Linked DNA regions of Mytilus edulis. The protein of the gene in region 2 interacts with the protein of the main gene of each other region in a pairwise test. Links are inferred from orthologs where the notes say so. Each region holds a gene or a part of one and is shown on either strand. Other genes may lie near its edges.

The links.
Region 1: the proteins of peroxisome assembly protein 12-like (region 2) and peroxisome assembly protein 10-B-like interact in a two-hybrid assay, tested with the Homo sapiens proteins (4 studies listed by BioGRID, with this or other methods). The link is inferred for Mytilus edulis from reciprocal best matches to the Homo sapiens genes PEX12 and PEX10.

The regions. Positions count from the first base shown.
Region 1 is NC_092345.1:104,804,223-104,811,230, forward strand, and holds the start of peroxisome assembly protein 10-B-like, read right to left. Parts: upstream 3,095-7,008; 5' UTR 3,065-3,094; coding exon 2,956-3,064; intron 281-2,955; coding exon 200-280; intron 1-199. Other genes in the region: serine/threonine-protein kinase OSR1-like, read left to right, coding at 3,129-3,216.
Region 2 is NC_092349.1:85,761,702-85,768,844, forward strand, and holds the start of peroxisome assembly protein 12-like, read left to right. Parts: upstream 1-4,084; 5' UTR 4,085-4,234; coding exon 4,235-4,357; intron 4,358-5,621; coding exon 5,622-5,730; intron 5,731-6,194; coding exon 6,195-6,310; intron 6,311-7,065; coding exon 7,066-7,143. Other genes in the region: uncharacterized protein, read left to right, coding at 144-3,074. UniProt on the Homo sapiens protein: Component of a retrotranslocation channel required for peroxisome organization by mediating export of the PEX5 receptor from peroxisomes to the cytosol, thereby promoting PEX5 recycling.

The DNA.
Region 1 (7,008 bases), on a different chromosome or scaffold from region 2:
TTGTATAAAGTTTTCTTATGTAAAATAACAAAGTTAACATTAAATTTATAAAAATAATTACATAGCAACTTTAACATATAACATGAGCATGATGAATGACAAACAGAATGTCTGATGTTTAATGTGAATATTATCAGTTAACAAAAGATGTTTCTTATACAATATTCAGCCAAAAAAATCAACATTAGTTTTAAGTTACCTGCAAAAGTTGTAAGGGTAAAGTAACCAAGATCTGCAAACAAATCAAGTTCTTTCCGCCATTTAATCCAATTTCTTGGTCCTAGAAGATATAAAAAAGTATGCAACCAAAACTCTAGACAGTCAACAACATTATCATATCAAAGGCTGAAATGTCTTAACTTGAAATCCAAACATAATCTTTGTATATAGATATAAGAAGATGTACTTTGAATAAATAAATCTGTAATCAATAGTCCATTTTCCAATTACCGATTTGATTCTGTTATTACACACTTTTTAAACGAATAAACTCCCTTTGTCACTTGTAGACTAGTTCTATACCGGACAAATTGGCTGTTGCCAATGCAAAGCATGATGAATTGAAAGAGATGTATCGGCGGTTTAACTAACTTTTCATGAAAAATAATTTCTGATGTCAAAAGTATTTAGCTTAATTTAAATAAAAGATTTTAAAACCTTAAAGATTACTCACATTTCGCACAGGTAAATTTGCTCTTTCTGCTAGCTCGCATTGTAAATAAAAATTGATGTCCCTCATAAGGGAGACTACTTAAATAGGGATCTCTAAATACAGGGTCAATAACGGTAATCAGAGGCGGATTTAGGGGGGGGGGGCCCACCCCTTTTTGGGAAAAAAATTGGTTGCTTATATAGGGAATCACTGAAGTGTGACTGGAGCGGGCCCCCTCTTAGGTCAGTCAGTGGGCCCCCACTTATGATAATTTCTGGATCCGCCACTGGTAATTGGCAAATGGACTATTCAACTTGACAAATTATTTCAAATAGCTTACATTTCTAAATGATATTAAGAACAATTTTTTTATAAACATATATTGATGGAATTTGCAGAGACAGTAGTTTCAGGTAAACTTCCATTTGACTACTGACATGACTGATTACAATGACAAAGTACATAGTGGTACTAAATATAGCAAAACATCAAACTTTATAAACTTTATAAACATGATAAAACAGCAAATAATAAACTGAAATCAATTGACTTTTACTAAACAATTTAATAGTATTTAAACTTTTTGTTGCTATTAATTTGTCTTTCTGTTGTAACTTGTTTTTCCCTTGTTGCTAATTTATTTCTTCTTGTTGCTTCTTTATGCTAATTAGTGAGACCAACAGGTACATGTACTTTTATATTAAATTTTAAATCAACATTAGTCTGATCCCGGATCCAGCTTATTGTTTTGTTAGATTCCTGTATCCTGCTTATCATATCGTAATGATAATGCTTGTAATTTCACGTGTCCCGCTTAACTTGGTTTCCCATTTTCATTTTGAATAATTTGACTTTCGTCGTGCACACATGCAATAAAAACCCTAGCCAATCAGGCATTAGCTTCAAAAGACCCCAATGAAACCAATTTCCACCAGGGTAGGAATGCCCCTCACTGTCAGTCGTCAAACGGTTATTTTTGGCTTCCGTTAGTGTCAAATTTTTTTTTTATTATGATTCGTCAAAATACATGTATCCTTACAGTGATTTGTCAGATGTCTCAAATAATAAAAGTCAACATTATTTTGGTAAAAAAAATAGCAGAATTGTCAAAATCAGTCAAATTCTTTAATGTCTAAAAAAAACCCTGTACATTTCATCGTCTGACATGTACCAAAATGTACTGTTAACATCATTTGGCGAGAATTAGTACCATAATTCGTCAAGAAGGTACTCTATTTATCATGTTTATACGACCCTCTTCCATGCAAGTATAAAGCAAAATTGCTATAAAATACATCGATAATATACTAATATTTAATAACCAATGTTTTCAAAGTCACCAATATCAATGAATATTTGCTAATATTTAAATTCCAAGTGTTATTTGGTCATTACAAGTGTTATTTGGATATTAACAGTGTTATTTGGATATTAACAGTGTACATTGTAGCGGGGTTGCTTTGCCTTAGTACAGGTAGAACATATATAGCCAGTCTTAATCAACTGAGCTATGGAATCGATTCTTTGGCTCAGTGGATTAACGCACTGACTGTCACGCAGACAACCGGGATTCGAATCCCAGTGGTGACGATATGAATTTGTAGAGTAGATACATGCTCTCCGGTTACATTTAGCGCCCGACTAAAAAAAATCAATGATGGTAATCTGGAGTATAGCCAGGGTTTGTGTTGTTAAGAGTCATATAAAGATATGACGACTATTGTGGTGGGGGAATAGTGTAGCAGGGTTGCGTCCCCTTAGTACAGGTAGAACATATATAGCCAGTCTTAATCAACTGAGCTAGGGAATCGATTATTTGGCTCAGTGGGTTAACACACTGACTGCCACCCAGACGACTGGTGTTCGAATCCCGGTGGTAACGATATGAATTTGTAGAGTAGATACGGGCTCTGCAGTTACAATATATTGATTGCGAGTAACTGGTCAATAAAACTGTACAATCTATTGTTGTTGTTACCAATTATGTAAATCAATTGTATCTGATTTTATGCCCTTTATGGGCCCTGTAATTTGGGAAATAAAAATATTCTGTTCTATTCTCAATGATTCTATTCTATTCTATAAGCTTAAAGTGTAGATTTACTTATTATTATTAAATAGCCAAAGGCGTTCAATACTCCTATTCCTACCACAGGAGTTTGAAGCTTCGAGAGAAGCTCTACTGTGATAGTCGAGTTTGGTATTTTTTAGGATAATTTTTAAACTCCTGTGGTTCTAACATCATGACCAAAAGATCAGGATATTTGGAAATCTAATGAATGTCAGCTAGCCGTATGACGTACCAAGTAATGCTTGGGATATATCTGTAATTTGAGACTTTAAATATCCGATGTAAAATTCGTCTTTTTGATGAGATCGTATTATTTCTGCATGTCCACTTTTCTTGAACATCGTAATTCATTTCCGGTTTGAGACGTTATCTCCCCTAGTTGTTAGGTCAAGGTCAATCTTGATCATGGCAGACAAACCCACAGTCCAGGCAACTGAGGAAAAGGCTCCATGGCCTAATACAAAAGACGATTACGAGCTAAAGGATGTCATTGGTACATGAAATTTTACAAAATTCTGTTTTGTAAATGATAACGTCCGCTCTGACATATAATCTCCTACCCCCCTTTTTTCAACTGACCTACATTTTTTAACAGTAAACATGTTTTTATGCTCATCATTGAATGTTTTAATCAACGACAGTGACTGTGTGTTATTATCTATTCTGCTTTTATAGGGCACATATTTTAATATATATAAAAAAATATTTTTTCAATATGGTCTTCCAGGAATACTTAAATTAATATTATGCTTGTTCCTGCTGATAGTGATAGTGTAGGCATTTCCCTAACCCTTTAACTAAATATTACCAGAGAGATTGTCTTCCAAAATTAAGTACTGAATCAGTGTGGAACCGATCCTGGGAGACCTGGCACTCAGTATATACTACCAGTTAACCAACAGGAATCCGGGTCTGTTTGCCCTGATTCGCGTTCGTCCTCGCACCTGTTTGCCCTGATACCTGTTCGCCTAGAGCCCATTCGCCCTGATTTTTATTTTCTCTAATTGTTGTCTAGTCGCATAATTTTAAATATTTTAACAAAATATGTTTAAAGTTTGTTGAAAAATTGACAAAATATTTATATTGCCGCAATCTATTTTAATATTTTCCCTTTGATTTACAGAGTAGAATACTTGGAATACATTATGTATTAATATATCTTTATTGATATTTGTTAGCAAAATAATTGTATTCAGTCAATCACGAATGTATGCAGTTCAAATGAAACTAGTCCCAGAGTATTATAATAAATGAACTTCAAAATCTGTTTCATGATTTACAGTTCGTACAAAATTGTTTTTATTGATTTCAAGCTGAATATTTTATCAAAACAAAATGTTTGTTTTTATTATTAGTCATTGAACAATTAATGATCTTAAACAAGCCATAAACGTTTAAATTTATAAGAATATATACCATAGAAATATCTGAATAAGTTTATTCAAATTCAATGCCCTGAATATTGATATTTTAAAATAGGGCGAACAGACTCTATGGGCGAACGAACTCAGGGCAAATGGACACAGGGCGAACATGTCATTAGGCGGAACATACCCTATACCAATTAACAGTAAGATGGTATTCACCTTATCGCTATTCCCAGCTGACCCAAGAATCTGTCCCGCTTGAACTATTGAGGTCTTACAACAATCACTTTTCCATTGTGGCGTCAGGTATTTTGTATTATGACATCAAATTTTATGGGAACCTGTGTGATGTCCAAAGTCCAGTAATGGCGGACAAATAGCGATAAGGTGTATTAAAGGGGATGCATTTAAATTTATCACTTCCCCATCCTAGGTATCATTTCTTCTAACAGTAGGTTTTGATGTTGGGATGCTAATTTTGTAAATGTAGAGCATGATTTTGGGCAGTTATATATCTTCAAGGTATGGGAAAGCATCCCTGCACAAGATATTTTTTAAAAAGAATATCATCTGATATGCTCATACACAGTCATGTAGTTACAAAGTTTTATTGTGCAAAAAAAATCAGAAAATGTCATGAACTTTGTCATGAACTTTGAGCTGTCCCTAATTTTTTTAATGTGTGAGATTTGAGCAAATTATATTTTCATTGGAATTATTCTTGAGACTAAAAGTGCTGTTTTTATCGTTCAACTGCTAGTTTGATGTAGAACATCATCATTAAGTATTACACCTAGCTAAAACATTTCTGACTGACAAAAACAACTTCTACAAAAGGTCACTAACTAGAATTATACTTTATTGGTAAATAAATGGATACACCCCATTTTTGTCGAGCCTGCAACTTTTGTTGCAGAAAGCTCGACATAGGGATAGTGATGTGGCGGCAGCATTAGCTAACTTCTCAAAAGCTTTATATTTTAGAAGGTAGAAGACCTGGATGCTTCATACTTTGTATATAGATGCCTCATGTTACGAGTTTCCGTCAGTCACATGTCCAATGTCCTTGACCTCATTTTCATGGTTCAGTGACAACTTGAAAAAAAAGTTCAGATTTTTTGTAATGTTAAATTCTCTCTTATTATAAGTAATAGGATAACTAGATTTGATATGTGCGTACCTTGCAAGGTCCTCATGTCTGTCAGACAGTTTTCACTTGACCTCGACCTCATTTCATGGATCAGTGAACAAGGTTAAGTTTTGGTGGTCAAGTCCATATCTCAGATACTATAAGCAATAGGGCTAGTATATTCGGTGTATGGAAGGACTGTAAGGTGTACATGTCCAACTGGCAGGTGTCATCTGACCTTGACCTCATTTTCATGGTTCAGTGGTTATAGTTAAAAATTTTTTGTTTTGGTCTGTTTTTCTCATACAATATGCCATAGCTCAACTATATTTGATGTATGAAAATATTTTATGATCTTTATGTCAGTCGTGCAGGTTTTATTTGACCGTGACCTCATTTTCCGGTTCATTGCACAGTGTTAAGCTTTTGTGTTTTGGTCTATTTTTTGTCGAGCCTGCAACTTTTGTTGCAGAAAGCTCGACATAGGGATAGTGATCCGGCGGCGGCGGCGGTGTTAGCTCACTTCTTAAAAGCTATATATTTTAGAAGGTGGAAGACCTGGATGCTTCATATTTTGTATATAGATGCCTCATGTTACGAAGTTTCCGTCAGTCAAATGTCCATTGTCCTTGACCTCATTTTCATGGTTCAGTGACCACTTGAAAAAAAAGTTAAGATTTTTTGTAATGTTAAATTCTCTCTTACAGTAAGTAATAGGATAACTATATTTCATATGTGCGTACCTTGCAAGGTCCTCATGCCCGTTGGACAGTTTTCACTTAACCTCGACCTCATTTCATGGATCAGTGAACAAGGTTAAGTTTTGGTGGTCAAGTCCATATCTCAGATACTATAAGCAATAGGTCTAGTATATTCGATGTATGGAAGGACTGTAAGGTGTACATGTCCAACTGGTAGGTGTCATCTGACCTTGACCTCATTTTCATGGTTCAGTGGTTATAGTAAAGTTTTTGTGTTTTGGTCTGATTTTCTCATACTTTATGCAATAGGCTTACTATATTTGTTGTTTGGAATGATTGTAAGGTGTACATGTCTAGCGGGCAGATGTCATCTGACCTTGACCTCATTTTCATGGTTCAGTGGTTATAGTTAAGTTTTTGTGTTTTGGTCTGTTTTTCTCATACTTTATGCAATAGGTTTACTATATTTGTTGGTTGGAATGATTGTAAGGTGTAATTGTCTAGCGGGCAGATGTCATTTGACCTTGACCTCATTTTCATGGTTCAGTGGTCAAAGTTAAGTTTTTGAGTTTTGGTCTTTTTATCTAATACTATATGTCATAGGTCAACTATATTTGGTGTATGGAAATATTTTATGATCTATATGTCAGTCGCGCAGGTTTTATTTGACCTTGACCTGGTTTTCACGGTTCATTGCTCAGTGTTAAGTTTTTGTGTTTTGGTCTATTTTCTTAAACTATAAGCAATAGGCTCAACTATATTTGTCATGTTTGTTGTATGGAAGCATTGTTAGCTGTACATGTCTGCCTGGCATATGGTTCAACTGATCTTGACCTCATTTTCATGATTCATGTTAAGTTTATGTGACAGTCATAATAAAGCTTTATATTTAGGAGTATCAACATAATATCAATGATTAGTAAAGAAGGCGAGACATTTCAGTGTGTGCACTCTTGTCTTAAACTATAAGTAATAGGTCAACTATATATGTTGTATAGAAGAATAACTAAATGTTAGCTGTACATGTCTGCCTGGCATGGTTCATTTGACCTTGACCTCATTTTCAAGGTTCATTGGTCTTTGTTTAG
Region 2 (7,143 bases):
TTGCTGACATCATAAATGCAACACAAAAAGAAATGATCCCATATAAAGAAATTAAACCAAGAAAACACCAAAAGCCATGCTGGTGGAGTAGCTCAGTAACATCTGCCAAAAAACACCTAAATCACTGCCAGAAACAATACAGAATGAGGAACATTCCACAAAACAAACAAAGACTCATCATTGCAGAATACAACTTTGACAAGGCAAAGGAAGATGCACAAGAAGAATGGAGTAATAACCTCGTAAACCAACTAAATCAGGCTAAAAACTCAAAAGACTTCTGGAACACGTACAAAAAGATGTCCAGGAAAACAGAAGATAACTCAGTACTCCCATTAATTGTTGAAAATAAAGATCCAATATTTGACAACAAAAGTAAAGTTGAACTTCTACAAAAAATTTTCTTTGGAGGTAGCCACCTAAAGGATGAGTCATTTGATAAAGAATTTTATGATAGTATCAACAAAGAATACAAAGAACTAAATAACATGTATCAGGCAACAAATGAAACAGATCAACATAGAGAAGGCTTTGATAGAGAAATAGACAAAGACGAGGTAGAAGCAGCTATATACCGCCTTCGCACGGGGACTGCCCCAGGACCAGATCAGCAGTTTGCTGAATTCTATAAGCATGCAGGTGACAAATTTACAGAAGCCTTAGTAACAATGATGAACATCATATGGCAAAAAGGGGAATTACCAACAGAATGGAAAATGGCAGATGTAAAATTTCTAAGAAAACCAGGAAAAACCAGCTATTACTCATCCTCTTCTTACAGACCAATCAGCCTAACTTGCATTATATGCAAACTAATGGAGAGAGTCATCCTAGAACGCATTGTGGCATATATTGAGGGTCACAGATTGATTGATTTAACTCAAGAAGGGTTCAGAAAGAATCACTCAACCACCAATGCTCTACTTCGGTTAGTCCAAACAATAGCTGATGGTTACAATGAGGATGAATCAACTCTTGCATGGCTAGTGGACCTTGAAAAGGCATATGACTCAATATGGCGTGAGGGGTTAATGATCAAGCTGCATAAACTTGGGATAAAGGGAAAAACCTGGTTATGGATAAACAGCTTTCTCACAAATCGAACAGCCAGATGTATGCTGAATAACTTCTTTGGAGAACAATTTGATACCAAAATCGGCTTGCCACAAGGGTCAGTACTATCACCCACCTTGTTTAACATATTCATAGCTGATATAATGGATAACACAAAAGGAGAAAATTGCAAGTTTGCAGATGATGGCACTCTATGGCATAAGGGGAAAGACATAAAGGAAATGAAAGAAAGAACTTCAGAGGATGTCAAAACTATTTTAAAATGGACAGAAAAATGGAGAATTAATGTAAACCTGGAAAAGTGTGAAGTATGCCTATTCTCAAAAGGCAACACAGATGCAGAGCAGAAAACATTAAAAGTCAACTCCTTCTCCTATAGATATAGTCCAACACCGAAGCTACTTGGAGTAACTCTAGACGAGAAGCTTAAATTTGACACCCACATCAATCTGATGCAGAAGAGGGCAAATAATGCAATATATGTAATTAGAGATATTAAGGGCATGGGAGGAATATCAAGATCAAAACTACTCCAAATATACAACAGCATGGTTAGATCTATCATGGAGTATGCATGCCCAGTCTGGCAAATAACATCTGCAGAGAATATGAAGAAATTAGAAGCTGTACAAAGAAAAGGCTTGTCAATATGCCTAGGACTACCAGGAACATCAGGTAGAGAGGCAATGGAAGTTGAAGCCAATATACAACCCATAGACCTCAGAATAGAGGAAATATCAGTACGTGAACTGGCAAAAATACAATCAAAGAACATAGCAGAACCAATTAAACAACAACTAGAACAGTATTTAACAAACAACGCAACCTATGAACAACAGGATTCTCCATTTGGTAAAGCTATAAACCAATCCATAGACATGTTCAAAGCCACGAAAGTTGACATCAAACTTATAGAACCAGAATTCACATACAAAGCTGGTGTAGATGTCATGCTAAGGAGATCACCAAGTTATTGGAGTCGTCTAGGTAGCTCAAAGAACAGAACAGCCGAACAAACTGTTGAAAGTAAACAGGTTGTAAAGGACCTATTAGGAGACAGCACAGACTCAACAGTAGTGGCATTCACTGATGGTTCATGTCAAGGTAACCCGGGACCATGTGGGGCAGGAGCAGTAGTATATTCTGGAAATAGCCAAGGCATAAGTCTAAAGAGGCCAGTAGCTAATAGAGGATCGATACTTCTTGCTGAACTAGTAGCCATACTAATGGTCCTGGAGCACTGTATAACGACTATAAAGGACCAGTTTTCTGAGCTTAAAATACTGTCAGATAGCCAGACTGCTGTAGGCATCTTGACTCTGAACTGGAAATCTTCTAACTACATCGACACAATTACTGATATCAAAGAATGCATGGGAACGTTCTTAAGACACGGCATACTAACAACCCTATCTTGGATCCCAGGCCATGCTAATATAGCCGGGAACGAGATAGCGGACCAGTTGGCAAAAGACGCTGCAAAAGAGGCCTCATCACTAAATGATCAGTATAATGTCATAACCATGTCAGATGTAAGATGTGCAGTCAAGATGTCTACAAAACTCAAATGGCAAAGCAGATGGACAATTAGTGAAACTGGAAGACAGCTTTTCAACCTAATTCCTATCGTTGGTAAGGACGCACAACTAGACAAGCCTAACAACCAAATAGGAAGAATATTGTCAGAAATAAGAACGGGCTACAGCAGACTTAACAAATACAGAAACCAAATCGGTCAATCCCTCACGCCATATTGTGAATGCGGAGAAGAAGAAACATCAGAACACTTCCTGCTATACTGCCCAAGATACCAACAAGAAAGAGAGGACATGCGAAGACAAATGGAACTACTTAACATCGATCCAACAAATATACAGTCAATACTAGCACCACCAAAAAGAGAAACCTACGAAGCAACATCGCAAATTGTAGGGGAATATATTACAAAATCAGGGAGATTCCAAGAACTTGCAATCCCTGATTCCCGATCCTGCGCCTAACAAGTATACCAAAGTACCGCGAGATATTACCTCGAGCAACGGTGTACCATAAGAGGAGGAAGATAGCACACAGAGAACAGTAGTGTCAATTATTGACCTTAGGATCAGGATCAGGAACGTTACCTGATGACAGCGTTTCTTTGTTTACATTGAATATGACGTCATAAATTAAATAACATCACACTTAAAATCCCTAACTACAGAACCAAAATCGGAAACGTTACGGTATTTCTGTTTCTCTTTTTAACATGTTTGATTTAAAAAAAATAACCATACAGACTTCGTCCCCATTCACAGGTAATGCCTGCCTCATATTACGAATTATTAGACACTATAAATGTTTAATTCAAAAAGAACACAGAGGTATTGAATCATAATAAGTAATATCTGTATCCATATTTCTCTCATTTTTACGATTTCTAATGGATTTGGCCTTTGCCGGCTTTGGGGGTGTGTCATGGTCTATTCCCAATGTATTTAATTCATTTTTTTCAATTCCACTATCACTTTGTAATGAAATTGGTGTTCACATATTAAAGTTTAACAAATATCTCATCAAACAATGATATATTTATGGATCTTAAGTGAAATTATAACATATTTTGAGCATTTTACCTGCCAAATATATTTATGTTGATGACAAGCCGGAAGTGACAGTGGAAGACTGAGAGCAGCAAGATAACATGAGATTGTTCTTTAAGAGCACTTTATGAAATACGACTAATTAATTGGAAAGATTTTAAAATACAACGCACTCAAACGTTATAAATGAAAACATAATATATTGAATTTTAAAGAATAATATCAACGAAAAATACAAAACATATGTACACAAATTTTTAAAGTTAATTTTTAGGTATGTTTTTTTTTCATGTGAGCATTTTGACCTTTTGGATCATTTTTAATTAAGTTCATTGTTGTGCGTTGTTGTTATTGATTTTATTTTTGTGTATTTAGTTATACTTCTAAAGACTCTAAACAGAAATAATCTGGCTAGACTCTAATAACCTAAAAGCTATTTATGACCATGACCTTTCTCAAAGTCCATGCTCCATACAAAACAAACTACAAATTTGCTTAAAGTTTCTTGATATTTATTGAAAAAAAAAGGGAGCTTAAAATACAAATACTTATTTAAGTTAATAGATCCCTGAAAAACAATGGCCGAAAGTGCAACGCACTTGACATCTGCTATATTCACTTCAAAACCGTCTATTTTTGAAGTTCTTGCCCAGGACAGTCTTATGAGCACAATAAGACCTGCTCTTAAACATGCCATAAAGGCAAGGAATAGTATAGATTTTCACATTGGGTTTAATTGAATGATACTCTTAGCTTAACTACAGATTTTGAATCTCAATACATGTACACCTTATCACTTATCCCGGCTGACCTGGCCGCTTGAACTTTTGACGTCATACACAATCACTTTTCCATTGTGGCGTGAGATATTTTGTTTTACGAAGTCAAAATTTATAGGGAACCTGTGTGATATCCAGAAATGACCGACAAATAGTGATAAGGTGTATAGGTGCAATTAGAGTCTTGAGAGCTAATTCTGTATTCTCCAGTACTGTTAACGAACGACTTAAAGTATCTACAATATATGTGTAAAAGAAGCAATTCCTTTAAGTCGTCTGTTAACATTACTTGAGAATTAAAAATGTTTTTTCTCGCAAGAATCATGCTCTCAAGACTCTGATTACACCTATTGAGATTCAAAATCTGTAGTTAATCAAGTTTAAGAATTGTCGTCTCCTTTTTTCTGAAAAAAAACTATGTCAATTCTTTCCCTCAGTTGAATTAAACAAAACTAATTTGTATAAATGAAATAAATAAACTTAACGGAAGTTAAGCATCACAATTGTCATGATTGTATGGTTTAGGTTCCAAAATCAAATTGAATATCTACATGTACCATCAATTCTAACTAAAAATAAATTCAAAATTTAAATATTTTGACATGGTTTAAGGCCATGAAGGCTACATTTGGTTTCCGATGGATTATTGTCTCATTAACAATCATTCCACTTCATATTTTTATATGTTTTTAAGAATTTAATCCAACAATAAAAGCAATATAAGCATACACATTTTTTATATCCAGATCTGATAGACTCGTGGAGGAAGTTATTGCCCCTAAAAGACATTTTTTTTGTGTTTTTGCAATTTCACAGTCTGATTCAGCCCAAAACACTGTACATTACCGCTGCATGCTGAAATAATCATGAGGGAAGCTGACATATATACTTAGTTAATTTAGCAATCAATAAAATGTTAATCAATACTGTAACAATAATTTTTAACAAATTTATTTTTAATGCTCAATTGCGCCCTGTGAAATTCTTTCCACTGACAATATTTATGTTTTTAATGAAGTATCTGTCTTATGCTTTGATCATGTCTTGAAATTATTTCATAGTTATTCATGTCCCCCTTGAGAACATGTTTTCTTTATACTGTATATATAATAATGAAATTATGTATCCTGTCAAAGAATAGACAAAGTTTCATTTACTTATTATTCATATATATTTGTCTTTTTAGGTTTTAGCAGAGACAAAGCCAGATAAATTTGCATGGATGCTGAGATTTTACGATGAAATATACACAATACTTGATCTAATTCTACAGAATTATTATTTACGTTCATACAGTAAGTCAAATAATTACTTTATTTTTGGATAAGTGGCACAATAATTGATGTAAAAAAAATATGAGAATTTTGTTTTCCTAAACTAAACCCATATATCCATACTTAATTAGATGACACAGTCAAGTCTGAACTTAAAAAATGAATTCAATTATATATATGTTATAAAAATTCTGCCAAAATAACACATAATTTCATATATATATATATATTAACTGTATACTTTTAAATGAAAGCTACTGCAAATATATGGTAAAGTATATATATCCATAACACCAACAAAACCTGCACTGAGACTAACTTTCATTTCAGCCATCATGTTCACAAGTCTTGAAACATTTAAATTAACGTAAAACTACTTTACTTTTTATTAAACATAGAGTTGACCATAGAATTTTATATTCATTCGCTTTAACAGCTATAACCCTATAACCCACATATGATTGTGTCTTCTAATTCTATTTCAGGTGGATCTTTTGCTGAAAACTTTTATGGTATTAAAAGAGTTGATTGTCAGAAGGATCAAAAACAGGAAGATACAAAACTTTCAAAACGTTGTCTAATTAAATCTATCTTATGCTTGGTAAGATTTTGTTGACAGTTAAAATAGGAAATATGTTTTTGTTAACTGTCATTTAAAGTAAAGATGTCATGGTTTTAAGTGTACAAAGAATTCTGTCTAATGGCTTTGTGTAAAATTTTGGATAGTAAGCATTAGATAATGATAATTTATAATACATTGCTTAAATGTGAGCTTTTTGTCATATGGTGCATGAAGTCAAGTTAATCTCATGTAAGATGAAATTACCTGAAAATCATTATCATGATTATGTACCCACAGAATTCTTTGTTCATGTAGGCATGATATTGCTTTAATATCAGAAACTATTGAGAACAATACAAATATGTTTCTGCCTTCCAGTAAAAAGCCTTATGAAATGAATAAGAATCAATTGATCTTTTTGTATTTGGATATCAGTCCAGTATTTATTTTGAAAATGGGAGATAACTCTATAATAAAAAAAGGCAGTTCTGAGTCAAGAATAGCAGACAATGTTTTGTGATGGAAACAGTATGAATAGTAGCTGCTCTTGCCACAACATAACACATATATCTTGACTTGGCTTTTAACCACTACCTTTTAGGAAAACAAGTTGCTTTAGACTACATTCCACCACATGAACAAAATTAATTAAACTTTGTGTACTTAGATGAGTAAGGTCTGCATGATTTTTTTTCTCTTTTTGAATTGTTATTATTTTTTGACAAGTTAGATATAAGATATACAAGTATCAGTATTTTAATGAAAATATTGCAATAATAACTCACTCTTTGTAGGTCATTTTGCCATATATAAAACATAAGTTGGACTTCATTTTTGAAGAATTGAGACACAAAATAAACACAGGAAGACTC